Linked DNA regions of Schizosaccharomyces pombe. Changing the gene in region 2 together with the main gene of any one other region gives a genetic interaction. Each region holds a gene or a part of one and is shown on either strand. Other genes may lie near its edges.

Region 1 (7,276 bases), on a different chromosome or scaffold from region 2:
GTAGATGGTTATCACGCTTCCTTAGCATGGAAGAGGTCCCAGATTCGAGTTCTGGCTTGTCCAAAATTTTTAATAAATAATGTGTTGGTCACGCAATATGAAACTGGAAATTTGATATTCGTACTAACATACGAACGAAAATAAAACACTTTCTATTTTCTGAAATTTTTACTTCAGAAAGATATTTTCGGGGGTATTCATGAATCAATAACTTTTGACAACATAAATACAATATAATTCGATCACTAAAAAATAACTTCTGTTTATTTACAGTTGCTAGTATTCCACTCTTTTTCGTTTGTTTATTTACACATTATTTTCCTTTAACTCAGAATTGCGTTAAATGATTCTTTTCGAATGTATAATTGCAGCAATGTTGATTTGTTTATTATTTTTGTTTACAACATTATACTTGGTTGTCTTTAGTAAATCTTGCCTCCTTATTGGTTACAAGTCAAACATCCATTGTAAATAGTGAGTAATTGGTGTTGTTTATTTAGGCTTAGTTCAAAGGCTTAGCTAAGGATATTATTACTATTCAGTTAATCTAAATCCTTTGTTATTTGAGCTATTTATCCAGGATGCAAATGGTTAGCGAAAGCTTTTATTTTTAAATGATCATCTTTTAGTAATATTAAATGTTTACTTAACACTTTTTTAAGCAAATGTTAGGTGAGCATCAAATTATCATTCGATGTTTGTTTATTGTGAGGGATTTCATAAATTATTAGTTATGATAAAACAATGTGTTAATATAAACGAAATGAATTGTTTTTTAATATAAATAACCCAAGGTTGAACATGTTTTACCCAACCTTTGTATACACTTCAAGAGATTGAACACGATCTCTAATTACTGAGTTATCCAACTGGCAATCACTCAAGCCTCAAAAGAGCCAAGTAACTTCGTAATGAACAGTAAAATTGCTTATCCAGAGATTAAAATATCAGGTGCCTTTCGTCCTGATAAAATACAGGAAAAGGGAAAAAGTAACCGATGTGATACTCACTGCTCTGGTAGCTCTTGGACAAGTTTTAAATCAAAGATCCTAAAAATTTGCGCTCCTCTCTGCTGTATGGGTTCTGATAACGATGAAAGCATGGCAGAAATGCCATTAGAACCCCAAGTTGAGCCAAAATCAATAGAGAACAATTATACTTTAAAAAAAAAAAATGAAGAAGGCTTCTTAAGTCAACAGGAAAATAAGTCTTCAAACCAAAATCCTTCAAAGGCTAATAACCTTTTCGACAAGCTCGGCGTAAGCAAGCCAATAACATTCATAGCTTGTATACTGCAATTGGGCGGCACCTCTTTTATGGAATCAGAACTCCAGACGAAACTTTCAACTATTAATAGCTCGCCGTTTAAAAGTTTATCCCAATACTGGAATGCTGCATACAATAAAAAGGAATCAATATCATCTTCAACGAATAGTAACATCAAATTACATTTGGCAGCTCGTAAATACCAAACAAAACCTGAAAAATTTAACGAAAATTCTTCCATTAGTCAGGTTACATCCGCAATAAAAGCAACAAAGGCATTTTCGCATTTAACTCAACCGAAGAGGGCACTATTGAAAGAAAGCAATACGGGAGATAAAGATATATTTAAGCCTCGGTATCCACAGCTTCTAAGCTGTAGATTTACAACCTTGAGCAAATTGGCGCCAATTAATAATTCCAAATCAGCACCTAAAGGTACCCACAAACCGAACCACTCAGAAAATGCTGAATTAAAAGATATAAAACAGAGCTCTGAGCTTTCTGACTTATCACTATCTTCACAGATTTTATATCCCGAATCCACGACTTTAAGTGAAATATCGCCGATATATGATTCTGAATTAGCAATTGAAAATATACTCGAATCTAAGTGCTTTGAAAATGAACAAGCCATAATAGAAGGAGTAAAAGATTTTACCGAATTTCCCGACCTAGAAGAAACACAGATTATATATTCCGACCTCATCGCTTCCAGTGAAGTATCGCCAATATATGATTCTGAATTGAAATATGAAAGTGTACTCGAATCCAAAAGCTCTAGAAACGAACAGGCTACAATAAAAGAAAAAAAAGATAATGAAAGGGTCCTCGACTTGTCACAGCAATGCACAAAGTTTCTTTTCAGTGACCAAAAGGTTATTACCCCAAGCTTTTGCAAATTTGCCCAAGTATCAGACATGTGCTCTACTGAAATTCCTTGGGTAAACTTCTTTTGTGATAACCTAGATATATGTATCGAAGATGTTCAATTCAAGAGTAAAGCCTTTTTTCCACCTACAGTAACTATTACCATCTTTGAGCACGAAGATAAAAACTTGATGAATGTCTTCGATACTAAAAATGGAACATCAAAAACATTAGTGAAACCTCAAATAACTAATAGCTGCCTTGAAAATATGCTATCACTTGTAAACAAGAACAGCTGTATTAAAAGGCTTCACTTAAAGTTGTCTAAAGGGATAATGGACATCAAGGTATTAACTCATCAGCTAATGCTATATGATCTTTATCCTCCTGCTCACCAAACATATCTATGGAAAGCATTAGAACGACTAGTGAATGAAAAGGTGAGTTTAGGAGAACTAACACCTGTTCACAAAGTAGCAGCCGAAAAGAGAATAGGAGACATCCGGATGCATTTAATTGAATCTTCGGATATATACGTTGTTACTGAAAATCATCGCTGGCTACATATCGTGTGTGAGGGCTTTAACTGTTTCTTAGAGCTTCCCGAAGTACTTCACGGAAAGAAGTTTTTAAAAGTAGATGAGGCTACAAGAGAAGACATGTTAATGTCTGCAGAGACTCCAGACGATATTTTATGGATAACTACATTGATAAGTACTGGTTCATCGATGTCACATTTTCCTTTGCATGCTTACCTGGAAGCCAAAGAGAGACAAGAATTCACAAAAAAGAACCTTTTACTATTTTGTAAAGAAGATGAGTTTTTATACTCCGACCAAGAAAATGAAGACCTTTTAGAATCGTTTGAAAGAGTTATTTCAGAAGAGTTATCCCTTTTAAAATCAAATGAGCCGTCAGATATCTCACTAAAAAAGAGAAAAAGAAGAAAGAATTGTGAGAAAAGAATATTGGGTACAATGATGTATTAAACGGCATGGCCAGTCGGAAGAACTATCCTTATGCTAATAATATATCTTCAGCATTCGCAACCATTGATATTTGCTTGACAAAGCGTTAATAATCCTATTCCCTAGGATATCATTTGTACTACCACAAAATTGAAAATAAATTCACAACGAAGTCAAACAACAGGTTTCTTTTACAAACGAACTGGCACGACCTTTCAAAAGATGTGCAATTAATTTTGTGAAACATCTGTAAGAACAATCGGCTTCCCTATTGAACTGACAACGTTCTTTCACATGGATTAGTATATGAAATCCCTATGATAAAGACATACTTTAAAAAATTTTCTCCATTCAAGAGGATCCCCATTACGCTTTATAAAGTTTATAAGCTCTAAGTTATGGCCTAAATTAGTTAGTTCAATAACACCTTGCAAGAGACATTTCCGTTTATCATGTAAATTAACATAAAGGATGGTCTGATTTCGAACATATTTCATAGTCACTGAGATTGCAAGTAGTCGTAGACTGTCATAAAGATGATCTATAATGGTTTCTCTCGACGCCCTAGAATAAAACCTAGTGAGTCTTTCAGGAGGACAAATTTCGTAGAAATTCTTAGCCTTTTTGGCCTTTTTCATATAGTTAGAAAAAATTTAGGTTTAAATAAATAATACCAATCTTTTAATAAAACCTTCATTCTCACAAAACTGACTCAATGAGGGGTCTTTTTCAAGGATTTCAGTAACGTCAATATTTTTATTAAGTTGTACTGGCTGGGATAAGGCGCCATAAACTTCTACACGATCCAACTCCTTTTGGTCATTTTTTTTAAAAGCTGGCTGTGTCATTGAAAAACCGCTATCGCTAATTGAAAGAGTTAGAAATATGAAACAACTGTGCAAGATCTTACTTTTGAGATGCTCTAGATGAGGCAAGACGTGGTTTATCTAAATCAATACGAAGTTTCAACATGAGCCTTGATGCCAATGCTACAGGATCGGCACAATTCCCATTTTTAGTTCGAAATGGTGTACTTGAGGTAAGCCATGGGTGCTGTACAACATGTTTGACAGAGTAGCGCTTAAATGGATCACTTCGAAGCATTCCGGTGATAATCGCTGATCATTAGTTTAAAGGAATTTCAGTCAGGACTTACAATAGGCTCCTGGAGACAACAAGTTCCATGGGTGGTAAGACGGGCGTTCACATTGTTTTTTATAAAGCAAGTAGTCACCAGTGTTGCTAATTGCTTCATCCCAAGGTGTGTTGCCTAATAACAAAGCAAAAAGAATTATACCGCAGGACCAGACATCAACTTTTGAACCATCATACTGCTGTGTAATTTCTGGAGCAGCGTATGGTGGACTACCCACTGGACTATTCAAAAGCCTACTTTTACCTTTATAGGAAAATAAAGATGCAAAGCCGAAGTCTGAAATCTTTAAGTTACCATTGTAATCTAAAAGGATGTTCTCAGGTTTCAAGTCTCGATGCGCGACACCTTTAGAGTGCATGAAGGAAATACCTTCCATAAGTTGAGCAAAATAAAACTGAGCGACGTCCTCATCAATACCTACATCAGGCTCTAAATTGTAAGTCCGTTAGTAAAAACGAAAGGTTCATGCACCCACCTATTTTGTCAAATAAGTCACCACCTTGAGCAAATTCAAGTACTACCCATCTCCATTGGGGATTTTCTGCTGTATTATAAAAATGAATGATATTTTTATGTCCATTGCATAGTTTGTGAAGTTGTATTTCACTAGCCATCCTTCTAGCCCATACCCCTGCATTCATACAACTAGTAGCATGTTTTTTATTGACAAATTTGACAGCATATATTTTAGCATTATCATCGTAACATAAACGGACGCTTGCTTAAGTTAGTATATAGTATTTTTCAAATCAAAATTCATACGAAGCAAAAGCCCCAGTACCTATTTCTCTACCAATATGGTAAGGAAAGTTATCTAATTTTTGAGCCATTCTTTGGTGTAAAGGGAAAGAAGATTATAATATAACACAAGCATATGTTGCAAATTTTGGCATGTGTATTATTTACAGTCTTAACATCATCAAAGACTGGAAAAGATTAAATTAAGGTAATTTTTAAATGAGTTTTAAATCTATATAATGATATAAAATTGGACTATAATTTGATATCCGGTTTTCGTTTACTTGTGTACATTAGCACATGTTGTGTTGTGTTTATAACTTACTCTCCTACCACCACGTACTCATTGAGAAACTACAGTAACAACTTGAGGAATGGATTCTGATATGCAAAACCAGAACCCTCATACTAATTCTAAAAACTCTTCTTCTGCTGGCATGGCTGTTGACGGTCATAGCGTTACAAAACGGTAAAAAATAAACAGTTTTTAGGAAAAAAGTCTCTAATGCATTTGTAGATTGAGAAGCGAATTAATGAGTTTAATGGTTTGTAATAAGCTTTTTTACTTTGTTATTAACTAGGGTTTTATGACTAGATGTCCAATACTCCTGGAATTAGTGCGTTTCCAGATTCTGATTCTAACCTGCTACATTGGGCTGGCACAATTACCGGCCCAAGCGATACGGTATGACTTTTATTTTGAAAGCTTAATATTTAAAGTATATGAATAATGCTTGGTGTGCTTACTTGTAGCTGCACTTTAATGGAAAATTAATACACATCTTTGTCATTACATTTTCATAACTGTCTACTCTTCTTTCTTCTTTTTCATACGACTAACGTAACGAAAATAGTACTATGAAGGATTGAAATTTAAAATTTCAATGTCATTTCCAGCTAATTACCCATATTCCCCTCCAACTATCATTTTTACTTCACCAATGTGGCACCCCAATGTCGATATGAGTGGAAACATATGTTTAGACATTTTAAAAGATAAATGGTCAGCAGTCTATAACGTACAGACAATTTTGTTATCTCTACAAAGTCTGCTGGGTGAGCCAAACAATGCTTCTCCCTTGAATGCTCAGTATGTTGAAAATATCTCATTTACCTTTTTTGATTATTAACAATTCTTAGAGCTGCAGAATTGTGGAGTAAAGACCCTATCGAGTACAAACGTCTTTTAATGCAGAGATATAAAGAAATCGATGAAATTTAGTTAGGCCGGTCTATTTCATACTCATTTTCATTTCTGTTTAGTCATATGGATTTTCTTTTCCTATTCAATGCTTGAAAAAATGTCTTTAGTTAAACTTTCTTCATTGATAATGGAAGTTGAAATTATTTCATCTCATCGATTAAGCAATTCCTTCATGCAATGCCACAACCTCCTGAAAACCACCGAATGGTTTTTTAAGGACCGTCTATCATTATTTAGTTCCAGAAGTTGAAGTTGTTATTATGATGCTCGATTAAAGCTATTCTTGTTTAATGCATTCCGTTAATGCAGTCGTTTTTTTAGCTTTCCGTTAGATTATAATACTATTTTATTATTATTGATTCTCAATGTCATTGTGTTATGTATTATCGCAAGACAAGTATCAATGTTATGTTGTGCCTGAATTTTTTTCTGATTAGTAATAGGACTGTATATACAGCCTAATATTTGTATTTCTAATTTTGAGCCTTTAATCCTTATGAAGCCGTATAGTGAAGTATCTTTTCAGTCTCAGAGCATTTTATAGAGTTGCTGAAATTTACACGTCATTTAAAAATTTAAGAGTTTTACCAATTATTATTACAAAAGATTTGTATTTAATTACAAAAGAAAAACTGATTAGAAAATTGAACATTTAAACTGATAGCTGAATAAGCTACTAAAACTGGCTGTTTATATGCTACCAAGAGCATACCTGCGAATGACTAGTACACCAAAGAATCTTGAAAAACAGCCGATTAACTTCGACAATCTCCCCTTGTATTTACAAGGAACCAATTACGGAGAAAATGTGCTTAGAAGTGACCCACGATGGCTGAAATGGGAGAAGTATTTACGAGAGTTTGACATGACAAGGGAGGGCAATGTAACAAATACGCCGAAAGCCATTCCATCTTCATGGAATCCCAACGATAAGTCAGATTCATTAGAATTGATGAATAACAACATGGGGGTTTATTTCTTTGGTTCGTTGTATTAATTATAATGGTTTATAACTAATCTTTAATAGGTCCTGAAGCCGGCACTGAACATGATGCGGCGTCTGTAAAAGCTGATCAT
Region 2 (4,415 bases):
AAAAAGATAATGTTGAAGCCCAGAAAATGGGCTATACGAATGACGATCACGTATCCCAACATGAACATACCCATGAGAATAGTCAGGAACATCACCATGAGCATAACCACAATCATGATCACATCCATAAATACAATGAAAAATGCGACCATGAAAGCATAAGTCTCCAGAATTTAGACAATGATCATCACTGTCATCATCACCATGAAAATCATAATATGCATGGCATATTTCTGCATATTATCGCAGATACTATGGGCTCTGTTGGAGTTATTGTCTCTACTATATTAATACAGTGGTTTTCATGGACCGGTTTTGATCCTTTGGCATCTCTAATAATTGCTGCATTAATATTTGTTTCTGTACTTCCATTAATTAAAGATTCGGCGAAGAATTTGCTCTCTGTGACTGATCCAGAATCGGAATATTTATTGAAGCAGTGTTTGTCGAACATCAGTTTAAGTAACTCCGTTATCAGTTTATCCAACCCTAAGTTCTGGACAAACGAAAGAGGTGAAGTGTATGGAATACTCCATATTCAGGTGAGCATAGACGGTGATTTAAACGTGGTTCGTAATGAAGTATTTAGGAAGCTCTCAATCGCTGTACCAAATTTAAAACACATTTGTATACAATCTGAACGGCCAAACAATTGCTGGTGTGGAAAATAGTTCTTACATCAGTTGATATCCATACTTATTTACGTGTAATTTTAATTAGATGAATTAATATTTTCTTTATTAGCAAAATTCCCATTATTTACCCAATCTTTATAATAGTGTTTTGAAGGACAGACTTTCTAAAAAAACCCCGAGGTCACTTTTTTGACACTCAATCACACTTGCTTCAAAACAGTCCATTTGCAAAGTAGCAGATGTCATGTTTGCAACCTCTTGAAATGCAACTCCAAAACGATTGTGTCCATGACCGTCGTCATCATCGTCATCTTCATTGCTAGTAAAAGCGGAAGTAGAAGTTCCAACTATTAAGTACCTATTTTTTTCCTCTACAAAAGCTGCTAAAACAAGAGGAAGATGTCTAAGCTTTCCAAATTCTCGTTCTTGCTCCTTCAAGTGTTAGTCAAACGTTAAAATCAATAGACACTTACATTAATAGCTTCAGCAATCCAAAGACTCATCTTTGTTAACGCAAGGGGATGCATAAATATTTTCAGATCTGGTCCTTCGTTGATAAGTCCAAAACGAAAAGATCTCAACGTTTTAATGGCTCTTTTTTCAAGTAAGGTGATTCCAGTACGAACAATGGCTCTTTGTAAGTGCATTGCTAACTTCAATGCTCTTTCTAATGAATCGACATCGTCCAAGGCGTCGTATGCATCATAAAAATTGTGCAACCATTCTTGATTTTGAGCATTTTCAAACTTCTCCAAATATTCTTCCTCCGTCATATCCGGGCTTCGAGCGACAGTTTTGCTTTGAAGCAAAACACCTGTATTACCCATTTCTAATAATGCACTGATAGCATAAGAAACGTCACTTGCACTAAGTGTACATTTGAATCCATAAGTCCGAGTAAAACTATGGAATATCACATCGTCTAAACCATAAAACGGTGCAAATCTTTTAAGACTACTTTTCAAAGTTTTTTTTAAATCCATGTTCATGTGAATATAAGTTTGTTTACACTCCACCAGACTGAGTCCCATTTTTGCAAGAAGCTTATGTAGTCGTTTGCGTCCTTCCTCGCTCCAAATGTGAAGTCTCGAACCAACGTAAGCAGAATGAAGCATAGAATCATAAAGACTCCAATGTCTTACTAGCATAAAACGAAATTCATCTTCAAGCCGAATTGACTGATCATGGGGTGTCTTACCATGTGCGCGACCGACTATTTGATTTTCAAGTGGTGAAGGGTTCAAGCGATTGACTTCATCTTTCAATAAAGAATAGGACCTATTGAAGTATTTTTTTGAGGATTGGCAGTGAATTTCCAAGCAGGTGAGCCCAACAATCGCTAACCACAACATGTCATTATCCTCACGTCCAAGCATGGATGCTACTGCAAACAGGATATTGGTAATTGACTCGCCGTACCAACTTCCTTTCTCATAATATTCAGAAAGGATAGAGGCGAACTCTTTCCGTTTTTTCCTTTTCTCCTTAATTTCAGCTCGACGTTGCGTCGTTTCCTCTGAAAAACGCCTACGACTTCGTGCTTGATAATCGGATGAGCTGTAAGATTCCACAGATCGGTTGTCATCTTCGACTTCCTCCTCTCGCTCATTACTGGAATCGGAATTTTCTTCATCTGATAGCTCATGCGAATTAAATGCATACCAAGCATCATGAATTTTATTCATGTCTTCTTCAATATCTCCATCGTCGAAAACAAAAATATTGTTTTCAATGTATATATTATTTAGATTATGCGGCCTATGAGAATCAATTACATAGATAGATACGTCTTCCATAGAAACAAGATAATTATTTAGATCCACCATCGTTCCACAATTCAAAAGTATAATGAATTTGATATCTTCATTTTGCTCTAGCAAAGTTTTATTTGCTTGTTCAAGGTCTCGATAGCCCGATACAGGCCTAATTTTATGTGAAATAAAATCGCCTTTCAAAAGTGTGGACAATAGCTTGCATGCACAAAGCGCGTCTGGGTCTAAAGCAACAAAGAGCTGAACTGTGCATCCACCAGATACACTTGCTTCTTTAATTTTCAAGTAAGCAGAGGCGTAATCGGATCTCTTGATGAACATTAATAAATAAACGTTACTGGTGGTGGATCATGGAGGAAATTACCAGGTGGTCAGTACAAAGGAAGGTAAAGCACTTTGAGTCGCTTTATATTTCCTAAACAATAGCGCATTAATATACAAGTCAAAGCTACGCAATAGTAGTTACAAAAAAAAGAAATTTTTGTAGGCATTGCAAACAACCCTTTCTCATTTTATGCCAAATGCCAAAAATCATATTATAATTACTCTAGTTACTAAATTTTTCACTTGAGCTACCTAAACTATCGTAAAAATAATTTGTAATCGCTGTTTTCTGGTGATATAATCCAAGGTGAACATGTGCACAACGAATTTATTCCGAGCGTTCGAACATTTCGTCTTTGAATCAGTGTAATAAAATCTTAAATTAAAAACAGCAGCAACTTAAAATGCGTTCCATATATACAAAGATTCGTCCCAACCAACACTTGCAATCCAAGATCCATCGCCGAAATCACTCCAATCAACATCACGGACAAATTCAGAATGCAAATCAACTTTTCTTATGCAAGAGTGCTGTTCCGGGTCAAAAATTCGAGAAGTCATATCGTAACTTGCTGTAGCCAAAAGATCATGGGCGGAATTGGACGATTTTATACTTCGAACAGCAAGTTGGTGACCAGACAATACGGACAGAGGCGTCTTTAAATTCGCGATATCGTAACAGTAAACCAGATTGTTATTGTCGGCCGTGTAAACCATACGATGATTAGACTTGCTCCAATTCATGCAAGTAATTTGATTCGGTATTTCAATGGACATAAATTTATCGGAAGACCGGAAATCCCAAAATTTGCATAATCCATCACTTGATGTATACCCGAGTAAATTTGGAGAGCTATAATGTGTAGCAACTGTAAGAATCCTTGAATTCGAACCATTGTTGAGCGTCTGCACACTGTTAGGCAAATTGCCTAACCATAATTTGATAGTCCCATCCCAGGAGCCCGTAACTACAATTCTTCGATCAACCGTATTTGTGTCTATTGCGACAATCTCCGCTTTATGCTCTTTCCATTTATGGATGGGCTTAGAGGGCATAGTCAAATCAAATAGTCTCAAAGAACCATCACCACAGCAAGCGTAGACTTGATTTTCACAATTCTGAGACCAGCGCACACCAAACAAAGAATCCTCGACATCATAGCTAGTATTTAACGTTAGATAAATTTCATTTCGTAGGATTTAGAGACTGTTTTCATCATAATAACTAATGGTTAAAAGTGTTTTGTGCAAAAGTCTAATAATGAAGAGCAGTAATCGCACAATTACTTACTGTTGGCAAACTTGAATTCCTTTTGGCGTAACATCATGAATATAAAGACGTCCGCTTCCGCCTAATCCATAATGGGTGACAGCTGCAACAGCGATCTTGTTTTCGACAAGTGGAGAGAATTGAACACTTTCACCTAGCGAATATTGTTAGTAACGATGTACAATTATGCATTCCAAGATATTTATTTTGTTTTGTTTTCTTTTTTTTTTTCCAATAAAAAGGAAGGAAAATTAAAAGGAAACAAAACAAAACAAAACAAAATAAAATAAAATATAAACAAAATAAAGAAAATATTCAGTAATAACAAAATTTCGTATTTCTACATCATTTGAATTTAGTTTAGTTATAGTTCGGTAATATTCGTTCATTTTATTTGTATTTTTCTCAAGCAGT
Region 3 (4,620 bases), on a different chromosome or scaffold from region 2:
GTTGTTGACATACTTTAATAAATATTCCGAATGGACACAACCTTGAAGACTTGCCAATTCGAATTTCTCTGATTTTACTGATTCTTGCTGTAAAAAGTCTTAAAAAATTCCAATAAGCTATAACACGCTTGATTGTTCAAGCAAAGGATTTGAGTTATTTGTAGAAATAGAAATGTGCTTACTCGCCATAGTTATGAACATCGCCATGTTAGTCTAGGTCTCGAAGAGAAATCGTTATTTCATGTTACGTATAACATCAAAGTTCGTTATTGATTATTTCTTATATCATTACATCATATACCTTTGTAATGCTTAACTGTAAAGTAAGCTTATTTACAGTACGAAGCAGTTAGCAAAAGAGAAGTACATTTTTATAAAATCAATCATGCGTAAATGGATTAAATTCGGGTTTCACAGTAATAATTTATCATTTTTTGAAGCTCTAACCCCTACGGTTCAACTATTTACAATCTAATCTCGACCTTAAAAAAACAAATATGCCTCAATAAAAAAAAAAAATTTCTTACATTTAGCCGGTTTTTATTTTTAAAGATAAATAGTATCAATATTAAAAGCACTTGATTGCGAGACATGAATTACAAAATGTATAATATTCAATTTCATTAGCTCGTATAGCGATTTTGCGTTTAAGAAACTTCGAAAAGGTTTTTTTAAAAAAATTAAAATAAAAACAAAGAAAAATCAAATAAGCTCATCAGTTGCAATCGGGTATTAAAAATAGAGCAACAAGTTAAAATGAAGGAATAAAAGCAAATTACTCATTAGGTAAGGGATCCAAACTCAACAAAAAGAAAATTAAAACTACTAAAATACAAACCAAAAACAAAAAAGTCAAATATGCACAACGAATACAGACATTAGGTGCTTCTCAAACGAGAAAGATTCACGTTACCACCCCTTGCCTCAAGGAGCTTCTGATAATTTAATAGACTAATCGTGATTGCAGGATTTCCATCGGGTTGTTGAGCTTCATAGTTTAGCAAAAGCTCGATCGCCTTCATAGCGTCTTTAGTGGTAATCTGGAATTCAGTAGATTCTTCTTCGTCCGTCTCGAAAGCGCGATCATCCATGTACTGCGAAGCAATTTGATTGATTATATCCTCAGAGGAATCAACAATATTCTCTTCTGAAGGACTTATAAAATCCTCTATACGCATAGCAGCTTGAACAGAAAACTCTGAGACGAGCTCACGAAGTGGATGAATCATTTCATCCAAGGCACGCGAGGTAACGGCAGATTCATTGAATAGACCAAGAACACCGGAAAGATTGAAGGCATTTTCAATAATTTCTGGTGATATGTCTGTCGTCCATGCTTTCACCAACCATAAAATAGCTCTTAAAACATTAGTAGTATTATAGGGATTGCGTCCCAACTCATTTTGTTCCAATATATATTGAACCCAGTGTTTGCGATAGCATGCTTTTAGAGCATAGATCACACCCTCACTACAAGGCTGGGAAATAGAGGCTGAAGTAGATGGTAAAGTAATTACAGTTGTATTTCTGAGGTCATTACCAGAGTTTCGAATGTTTTCAACAGCACGCAAATGTGGAGTATAGCTATCAATAAGAAGTATGACTTTGCGACCTTCCATACACGCATCAAACCAACGTAGCCATTCCTCCATTATAGCTGTGGTCATGGATGCCTTACCATTACTTCTCCATTTGAAATTCATTACTTCGGGTTTTACATTAGCAGCCCGAAACACTCTGGGAGATTGTGAGTATCCAATAACCCATAAAGGCAAACGTTCGGTTCCCGAAGCATTACAACACACGGTTAGTGTAATACGAGCTTTGAATCGAGTAATACCTTTTATATCTTCGACTTCGGGAGTGCCATTTGGAACCAATTTCCAAAAAAGACCGGTCTCTTGCATTGTGAAGATATCATTAATATTCGTTAATCGCGTGACATCGTAAACACGAGAGAGAGGATCATTAGGTGGTTCCGTATTATTCAAAACCACAGACTCGGTGGGTTGTTCATTAATTGCATGAAGTATATGGCGCTTCCTGAAACCTTCCAACCATCCATTGCTAAAGTTCGGAACCGGTTGATCTTGATACTCGGGAATTTTGTGCCAAAGAATAGCGGCGGCTCTCTTAATTGTTTCACCGGAAAGTGTAGCATCGTCACCCTGTTGAACTTGCCATTCAAATAAAGCGGCCTCTAAAAGAGGGTATTTCGGTGGTCTGTTACGTTTCACGTCCCATGGTTTTTCTACAGTATTGTCCAGATACGAGTATTTGGAGGATAAGATCTGAGAGACGGAAGGCTGTGAAATATCTTTGCCAAACTTTTCACGGAACCATTCGATAAGATCTTGTTGACCGGAACGGTTTTGAAGTTGAAAAAAGTAGTGCCTAAGAGCGCGTTTTTCATGTTCTGTAATGGCTCTTCTTTTGATTTTTCCCATTACTCGATAGCTTTATTATTTCTAATGTCTTGAAGTGAAAATATAAGGATAGCAGAGCAAAGGTTTCTTGCCTTAATAAAACGACACTAACAGTCACGAGTTCGTAATATTATACTGAACAGCGTAACGTAATATCTAAGCTTAATATCTGTTAAGCGATGAAACAAACAGCGGTAAACAGTATAGTGAGTTTCATCTTCAAAAATCAACATATGGTCGTACCAGGTTTGGCTTTCCTAATTCATCTGGGCCAATTTTTTGCAGTGGTATAAAAAAATGAATTATTCCTGGTGCTATTTCATGGTTTCCAAATAAAAGTTTTTGGTCGACATAAACTGGATTACCAGTAAGAGTATTGTTAGTTTTGTATTTAGTATATTTGTGAAATTGCGTAAAATTGCTCAATAATAGTGCGATGAAGGAAAAATGGAACAAGGAATTAAAAAAAAAATAATTCCGCTCAGGGGACGAAGGGACTAAATTATGGAAAAAGTAGTAACAATTGATTATTGATGGGGTTACTATAAAATATTAAAAAAAAAGGTCAAACTCTATAAATGATGTATTTAAATTTATTTTTATTCTCTTTTTTTTTTTTTTTTTTTTTAATTTTTATATTCTTCAGTAAAAACTAATAATTTTTGCTAGGATTGCATTCAAGTCAATCTAAAAAAAAGCAATTTGTGTAGCAATTCACATATTTTTTTACAATTGACGGTATCATGAATTTTACTGTAACTTACTAACTGATAAATTTTCTTTATTTCGTGGATATATACTAGTCTACAGAACATGAACATATATGGAAGACAGTAGATGAACGAACATTCTACACTTACAAACGGACAGTTAGTTATCGCCTTGGAAATTCAACTTGCTAATAAAATTATATTAAATGATATGCATATTTAATTCCATTTTCCGAAATCATATTTTCTTCAAAAAATAGCATTCAAACGCCTCAAACTCATTATCACTCCATTCTTAATTGCCAACCTATATTACCAAATGCCGATGGTGCACATTGCCAGATAATCGGTTATTAGATCCGGGTCTAGAGAACGAAACCATTGCAGTTGTTAAAATAGCATATCTTCACAAGCCATTGTAAAATAAAAATATCAAGATATCAGATATTCATTAACGGTGTATCAAGAAATTTGAGCGCAGTTAACTTACAGAACCTCAAGTAGATAGGTATCGGTCGCATACCTTATCTTTCGTCCTAGTTCACTTGCGAATGTTCATACTACATGACGCCAGTCTAATTACTACTTATTCATCCCCGTTTGTAAATAACGACTCGGTAAATGCTACCTCGGTTAATTGGACTTTGTAAATGTTAACAGACTTAGCGCGACAAACCTTTGAGCGGCAGCATGGTATAGCAGAGGATGAAGTGAAAATTGGGTTGTTTTAATCAGAATTCAAAAAGTATGGTTTTCTATGTAGGATCCTGAAGAAAACTGCTTGGACTCCTTAGTGGCAGAGCAGATGACAATGAAAAAGAAAGTCTTTTTTTTTTTTTAATTTTCTTTTCGAATCCTTTCTTTCTCATTTATTTATTTATTTTTTTGATATGTCTTGTGCCCCACTAATTGAACGGCCACAGCAGTGTGACGAGGTAAATTAGATCGAAATAGTATACATTTTAAGGACCTGCTGATGAAGTAAATAAAAAGGGTTGATATCGTTAAATTGGTAAGTCACATGTTGGTTTCCGACATTGAGTTGAGAAGAATCATGTAAACATTACCAAATTCATTACCGAAACAATATGAATTAAATAAATAAATAAATAATATTTAGAGTTCAATCCAGCCGAATTGGCATTTTTTTACTTAGCAACTAACTGTCTCAAACGCACCCTGGCAGCAAAGGCGTGAAGGTAGAGAGCGTGTACAAATGCTAATGTTTTGTCGGCTTTTTACAGCGCTTCGTTGCTATTTACAATGAATCCAGCGCGTTGTTTACGGTATAACGACGCGGTAAGCCACAATAAACGGTCGATTGCTACCTCTCGTCCAATCTACCTGGTAACCGCTACCTAAATGTAAACAAAACAGTACGCAAATCCAAGCAGTAAACAATAAAACCAGCCATTAGGTTAGCCAATTAAGGAGTCAAAAAGTGTCCATATTTGTCGATCATTGTTTACTTGGTAGTGATTGGT
Region 4 (5,450 bases), on a different chromosome or scaffold from region 2:
ACTTGTAAATATTTCAGTTGCAGCTGTTTTGGATAATCGACTCCGGGAACTGAATCCGGGAATTTAACAGAAGCTGAAGACATTTGAGACATGGCGGCTAGGAAGTGGTTGATGATGCTGGATAAGAGCTGCTGTCAACTAAGGTCTCAATGCTTGAACATCATCGCAAAGCTCATATAAAATATGAATTACTGAATATTAACGAAACGACACTATTTGAAAATTAGTTTTGTTTATGAAAAGAAAACAATAAAATATAAAGTTAATTCAATCTTAAAAAACTGTTAGGAAAAAATTAAAATGAAAGTCATTATGAGATATAACAAAAAAAAAATACCCAGACAGGGTTTCTCTTTAGCTTTCTCAATCAAAAATAAAAGATAAAAGACGCAACCACCAAAACTATAGATAGGTTTAAAAATTTTAATGAGTGCAGTTAAAATAGGAGAGACAAGAAAGCTAGAAGTTCAATATATTAATTATTGTTCAAATATACATACAAATTTGTCATCATCATTAAAATCATGTATACCAACAAGCCCCAGTAAGCCTCTCAAATTAACCATCTCTGTTAAGAAAATCAATTAAACCATTTTTGATAGAGAAATGATTACGTTTAACCATAAGCACATAGAAAATATCTCTGGTTTCACCAGTATAAACAGCGTTTCACAAAAAGCATCACCAGATTAAGTATAACCTACATGTTTTGACGTTAAATTATACGCCAAAAAAGAAGGGAATTCAAAAAAGTTATTAACGCTACCGTAAATTTTTACTGATTCGAGATCGCTCCAAGAAAAAATTTGATATATCTTCCTTGGTGACAACCCTATTTTCACGAGCAAATGGAGTGAGGAAGTCCGTTAGCTCAGATTTTAAGCGATTATACGCATAAACGCTTTCGTTAGCTTGTACACGAGGAAGTCTGTCCAAAATACGAAGGACATCATTCATTGTGCTAGATATGACTTGCTCAATCATTTCTCCAGATTCACTGGGATCCTCATTCATCTCACTGATTCCATCCTCAGAATCCTCAGGAGGTTCGTAAATAGGTTCTTCTGCCACCAACATTGGCATCTCCAAATTACGCAAACTGATGCAAGATTCACAAGGGCACAAATTTTCCCTAAAGTTTTCTGAAAGAAATAGAGGCGCTCGTTCTGTACCAGCTATGCTTTCATGCTTCTGGTTTAAAAGATGATCGCGGTATTTTTCTGAACATTCTGAACACACCAACCATTCAAAAGTCTCAGCATCTGGGATTGCAATTCCTTTATTAGTTTTCTGCAGACACTTTTCGTGAAACCAATCTTCGCAAAGGATGCATTGAAACATAGTTCCTTCCTCTGTCTCTGGATTATACACCGTATCACATATGCAAAATCGCCCTTCGAAATTATGATTATAATCATTTTCTGAGCCACATTCATCAACGGATTTCCGTAAATTACAAGGTATGGAGTGGGTTCTTGTGGTGCCACAATCACATCGAAAATGTCGTTTATTGAATAGGTCCACAAGATCATGGTCAGCATGGCAGCTAATACTGCAGCTATAGCAAACAGCATTTAAGCTTCCGCTAGCTTTTTGACATGTCAAACAAGCGTATAAAGGTTGCTTCAAATAGCCCATCGAATAAGTGCACGTGTCAAAGCTGTAAGGCAAAACTTCTCGTGCCTCCCTTTCAAGCTCCCTTTGCTGTTCAACATATTGCTTAACCGTTAATTCATGAGCCGTTTCCTCCATAAGTTATTAAATGCAACTAAACGTTGGCAAATAGACGGCGTAAACAATTGCGAAGAATGTCTTTTGAATAATTCAAAACACTAACTCATTACGCTCCTCTATTTCATTTACAGGTATCACTACATTTTCCAATACAATTTAACAATATACTGTAGCATTTCTTATTCTTTCATCCTGCAATACTCTAGCTATTCAATGCATTAAAATAGTTAGAAACAACATCTTTAAAGTATTTGAGTCCAAAGATGGATTCTTTTCGGAAAAGGGGTCGCCGCGATTCTGAAAGTTTACCTTTTGAATCAGAAAATTCTTCTCTCGGTGCTACACCTCTTTCTTTACCTCCTTCTTCACCTCCTCCAGAATTCTCTGATGAAGCTGCAGAAGCTCTCGTGGAGGAGGATATTGAGGATCTGGACGGAGAAGCTTTAGATGTAGAGGATGAAGAAGGTGAAGATTTGTTCGGAGAAGGAATGGAACGGTAAGTTTTATAGCTATGCTTGAGACGTGTCTTGTCAATGTTGTGTATACTAAGTGTTGCCATCAATATATAAATTACATACTATTTCTTCTCCTTCTTGTAAATAAATATATTTATTGGATTCCTAGGTTGCGGTTATATTGACAGAACAAATCTTGATTTTCAAAAGAGTAGTTTCACATTTCGCGTCAAATAAGGTACTTTTTTCTAACTGTATAGTGATTATCAACAAAATTTGGAGCTAGATCGTTATGACATTGAAGAACTAGATGACGATAACGATCTTGAAGAATTAGATATCGGGGCCCGAAGAGCTGTTGATGCCAGGTTGAGACGACGTGATATTGAGCTCGATGCTGCTGCAGGTAGAACAAAACCTGCTGCATTTTTACAAGATGAAGATGATGATTTGGACTCCAATCTTGGCACAGGCTTCACTCGTCATCGACATCGAATTTACGACGAATATTCACCTAATGTTGGCGCATTGGACGAATCTGGTGAACTTCCTCTTGAATCAATTGCCGACGTAAAGGCCGATAGTATTGCCGAATGGGTTACTCTTGATCCTGTTCGGCGTACAATTGCTCGAGAATTCAAAAATTTCCTTCTTGAATATACAGATGAAAATGGCACCTCTGTATACGGTAACCGTATTCGCACATTGGGTGAGGTTAATGCTGAGTCGTTGATGGTTAATTATGCCCATCTTGGTGAATCTAAACCCATTTTGGCTTATTTCTTGGCCAATGCGCCTGCACCTATTTTTCGCATATTTGATCGTGTTGCTTTGGAAGCCACTCTTTTGCATTATCCAGACTATGAAAGAATACACTCTGATATTCATGTTCGTATCACTAATCTTCCTACTTGTTTTACTTTACGCGATCTACGACAATCCCATCTTAATTGCCTTGTACGGGTATCTGGTGTCGTAACTAGGCGCACTGGGCTTTTTCCACAATTAAAATACATTCGGTTTACATGTACCAAATGTGGTGCTACTTTGGGTCCATTTTTTCAAGACTCTAGCGTTGAAGTAAAAATTTCTTTCTGTCACAACTGTTCCAGCCGTGGTCCGTTTGTAATCAACTCTGAACGGACTGTATATAATAACTATCAAAGGATCACTTTACAAGAATCACCTGGCACCGTCCCCTCAGGTAGACTGCCTCGACACCGTGAAGTTATTCTTTTAGCGGACTTGGTTGATGTTGCCAAACCAGGCGAAGAGATTGATGTTACTGGCATATACCGCAATAACTTCGATGCTAGTCTGAATACCAAAAACGGGTTTCCTGTCTTCGCTACAATTATAGAAGCAAATCACATATCGCAACTTGACGGCAGTGGTAATACTGATGATGATTTCTCTTTAAGTCGGCTTACTGATGATGAGGAAAGGGAAATTCGGGCATTAGCAAAGTCGCCTGATATTCACAACAGAATTATTGCATCGATGGCGCCTTCTATTTATGGACATCGCTCTATCAAAACTGCTATTGCTGCTGCTTTATTCGGTGGTGTCCCCAAAAATATTAACGGTAAGCATAAAATTAGAGGTGATATCAATGTTTTATTGTTGGGAGATCCAGGAACCGCCAAATCTCAATTTCTTAAGTATGTTGAAAAAACGGCACATAGGGCTGTCTTCGCCACAGGTCAGGGTGCCAGTGCTGTTGGTCTAACTGCATCCGTCCGTAAAGACCCCATTACGAATGAATGGACTTTGGAAGGGGGTGCTTTGGTTTTAGCAGATAAAGGTGTTTGTTTGATTGACGAGTTCGATAAAATGAATGATCAGGATCGTACTTCTATTCACGAAGCCATGGAACAACAAAGTATTTCTATTTCTAAGGCGGGTATTGTGACTACCTTGCAGGCGAGGTGCACTATTATTGCTGCCGCTAATCCCATCGGTGGACGTTATAACACTACAATTCCTTTTAATCAAAATGTTGAGCTGACCGAACCTATTTTATCTCGTTTTGACATCCTTCAGGTCGTCAAAGACACGGTTAATCCTGAAATTGATGAACAGCTAGCTAATTTTGTTGTATCAAGTCATATTCGATCTCATCCTGCATTTGATCCGAATATGGATGTCTTGAAGAAAGTCCCTACTGAGACTGGTATTGATGCCAAACCCATTCCCCAAGATCTTCTTCGTAAATATATCCATTTCGCTCGTGAAAAAGTTTTTCCTCGATTACAGCAAATGGATGAAGAAAAGATTTCGAGACTTTATAGCGATATGAGACGCGAGTCACTGGCTACTGGAAGTTATCCTATTACTGTGCGTCATCTGGAGTCTGCTATCCGTTTAAGTGAAGCATTTGCAAAAATGCAGCTCAGTGAGTTTGTGCGCCCTTCACATATAGACAAAGCCATTCAAGTGATTATTGATTCCTTTGTGAATGCCCAAAAAATGAGTGTTAAACGAAGTTTGTCAAGAACATTTGCTAAATATCTTATTTAATTTTTTGACACAATCAGTTTATGGAGTCCAGTGATTTTGATTTCCCCGTTCTTTGACCCTCCTTTTGTTACTGCATCTGTTGCATATATCTATCCTTTAATAATTTGCAATCAAAATTTGCTTTACATTTTTATACCTATCTTTACATTCATTCTTTCTTAGTTTTCAAAATGTCAATCTAAATTATTTAGGTTAATAACACTTGTTTTGAATATCATTATTGACTATTCGCTATAGATACTAGGTGTATAGATACTTTCTCCGCTGTATCAATATTATTAGCTGTTTCATTAAAGAGCCACTGCCCATGTGAAATGACATTTTTTGAAACAGCTGAGGTTTTTTACATATAGAGCTAAATTGTCCATTTCCAAATTTAAAGGGAAGTCAACTTTTGACAATCGGAAATGCATCCAGTTCATATCTGATGTTCCTGAAGAATCTCAAATTTCACACTTTATTATCTAAAATTATTTATATCGTGTTACTCTTTCAAATCAGTCTTTTTATTTGGTATATATTTTGCCCTACCCTTACCTACTTATATTCGTACATCCACCAAGTAAACTTGACACAAAAACAAAATGGCCTATCCCGGGCAGTTTGGAAATTACGGTAATCCTGAGACTTATAGGCAAAATGTTGCTGGCAATATTGCTTCATATGGGGGCCCTGAAATTGACACTCAGTTAGCTGCTCAAATGAACGCACAAATGTATATACAGCAAGGTAGTGCAATGG

The links.
Region 1: mutations in cdc45 (region 2) and chk1 impair growth when combined (synthetic growth defect), as found in Schizosaccharomyces pombe (2 studies listed by BioGRID).
Region 3: mutations in cdc45 (region 2) and cbp1 impair growth when combined (synthetic growth defect), as found in Schizosaccharomyces pombe (one study listed by BioGRID).
Region 4: mutations in cdc45 (region 2) and mcm2 are lethal when combined (synthetic lethality), as found in Schizosaccharomyces pombe (2 studies listed by BioGRID, with this or other methods).

Annotation. Positions count from the first base shown.
Region 1 is NC_003421.2:1,057,831-1,065,106, reverse strand, and holds chk1 (protein kinase Chk1), read right to left. Parts: upstream 5,312-7,276; 5' UTR 5,088-5,311; coding exon 5,020-5,087; intron 4,975-5,019; coding exon 4,733-4,974; exon of another isoform or gene 4,687-4,732; coding exon 4,258-4,686; exon of another isoform or gene 4,220-4,257; coding exon 4,012-4,219; exon of another isoform or gene 3,966-4,011; coding exon 3,776-3,965; intron 3,731-3,775; coding exon 3,434-3,730; exon of another isoform or gene 3,389-3,433; coding exon 3,332-3,388; 3' UTR 3,123-3,331; coding exon of another isoform or gene 912-3,122; 3' UTR 664-911; downstream 1-663. Other genes in the region: protein Meu27, read left to right, coding at 912-3,122; ubiquitin-conjugating enzyme E2-C Ubc11, read left to right, coding at 5,370-5,464, 5,513-5,540, 5,591-5,680, 5,850-6,085, 6,136-6,217; gid1 (putative Ran GTPase binding protein), read left to right, coding at 6,918-7,182, 7,227-7,276.
Region 2 is NC_003424.3:4,723,116-4,727,530, reverse strand, and holds cdc45 (DNA replication pre-initiation complex subunit Cdc45), read right to left. Parts: upstream 2,760-4,415; 5' UTR 2,729-2,759; coding exon 1,109-2,728; intron 1,068-1,108; coding exon 771-1,067; 3' UTR 685-770; downstream 1-684. Other genes in the region: Golgi zinc importer, CDF family, Cis4, read left to right, coding at 1-671; pex7 (peroxin-7), read right to left, coding at 3,131-3,893, 4,023-4,155. UniProt on the Schizosaccharomyces pombe protein: Required for initiation of chromosomal DNA replication. May have a role in regulating the MCM proteins nda1 and nda4.
Region 3 is NC_003423.3:3,509,893-3,514,512, forward strand, and holds cbp1 (ARS-binding protein Cbp1), read right to left. Parts: upstream 2,479-4,620; 5' UTR 2,448-2,478; coding exon 879-2,447; 3' UTR 535-878; downstream 1-534. Other genes in the region: protein tam12, read right to left, coding at 1-11. UniProt on the Schizosaccharomyces pombe protein: Binds, preferentially, to the Maundrell ARS consensus sequence within ARS3002.
Region 4 is NC_003423.3:1,190,656-1,196,105, reverse strand, and holds mcm2 (MCM complex subunit Mcm2), read left to right. Parts: upstream 1-1,963; 5' UTR 1,964-1,997; coding exon 1,998-2,230; exon of another isoform or gene 2,231-2,449; coding exon 2,450-4,709; 3' UTR 4,710-4,898; downstream 4,899-5,450. Other genes in the region: SPOM_SPBC4.06 (acid phosphatase), read right to left, coding at 1-92; ubiquitin protein ligase E3 component mlo2, read right to left, coding at 763-1,752; COPII-coated vesicle-associated protein Sfb3, read left to right, coding at 5,294-5,450. UniProt on the Schizosaccharomyces pombe protein: Acts as a component of the mcm2-7 complex (mcm complex) which is the putative replicative helicase essential for 'once per cell cycle' DNA replication initiation and elongation in eukaryotic cells.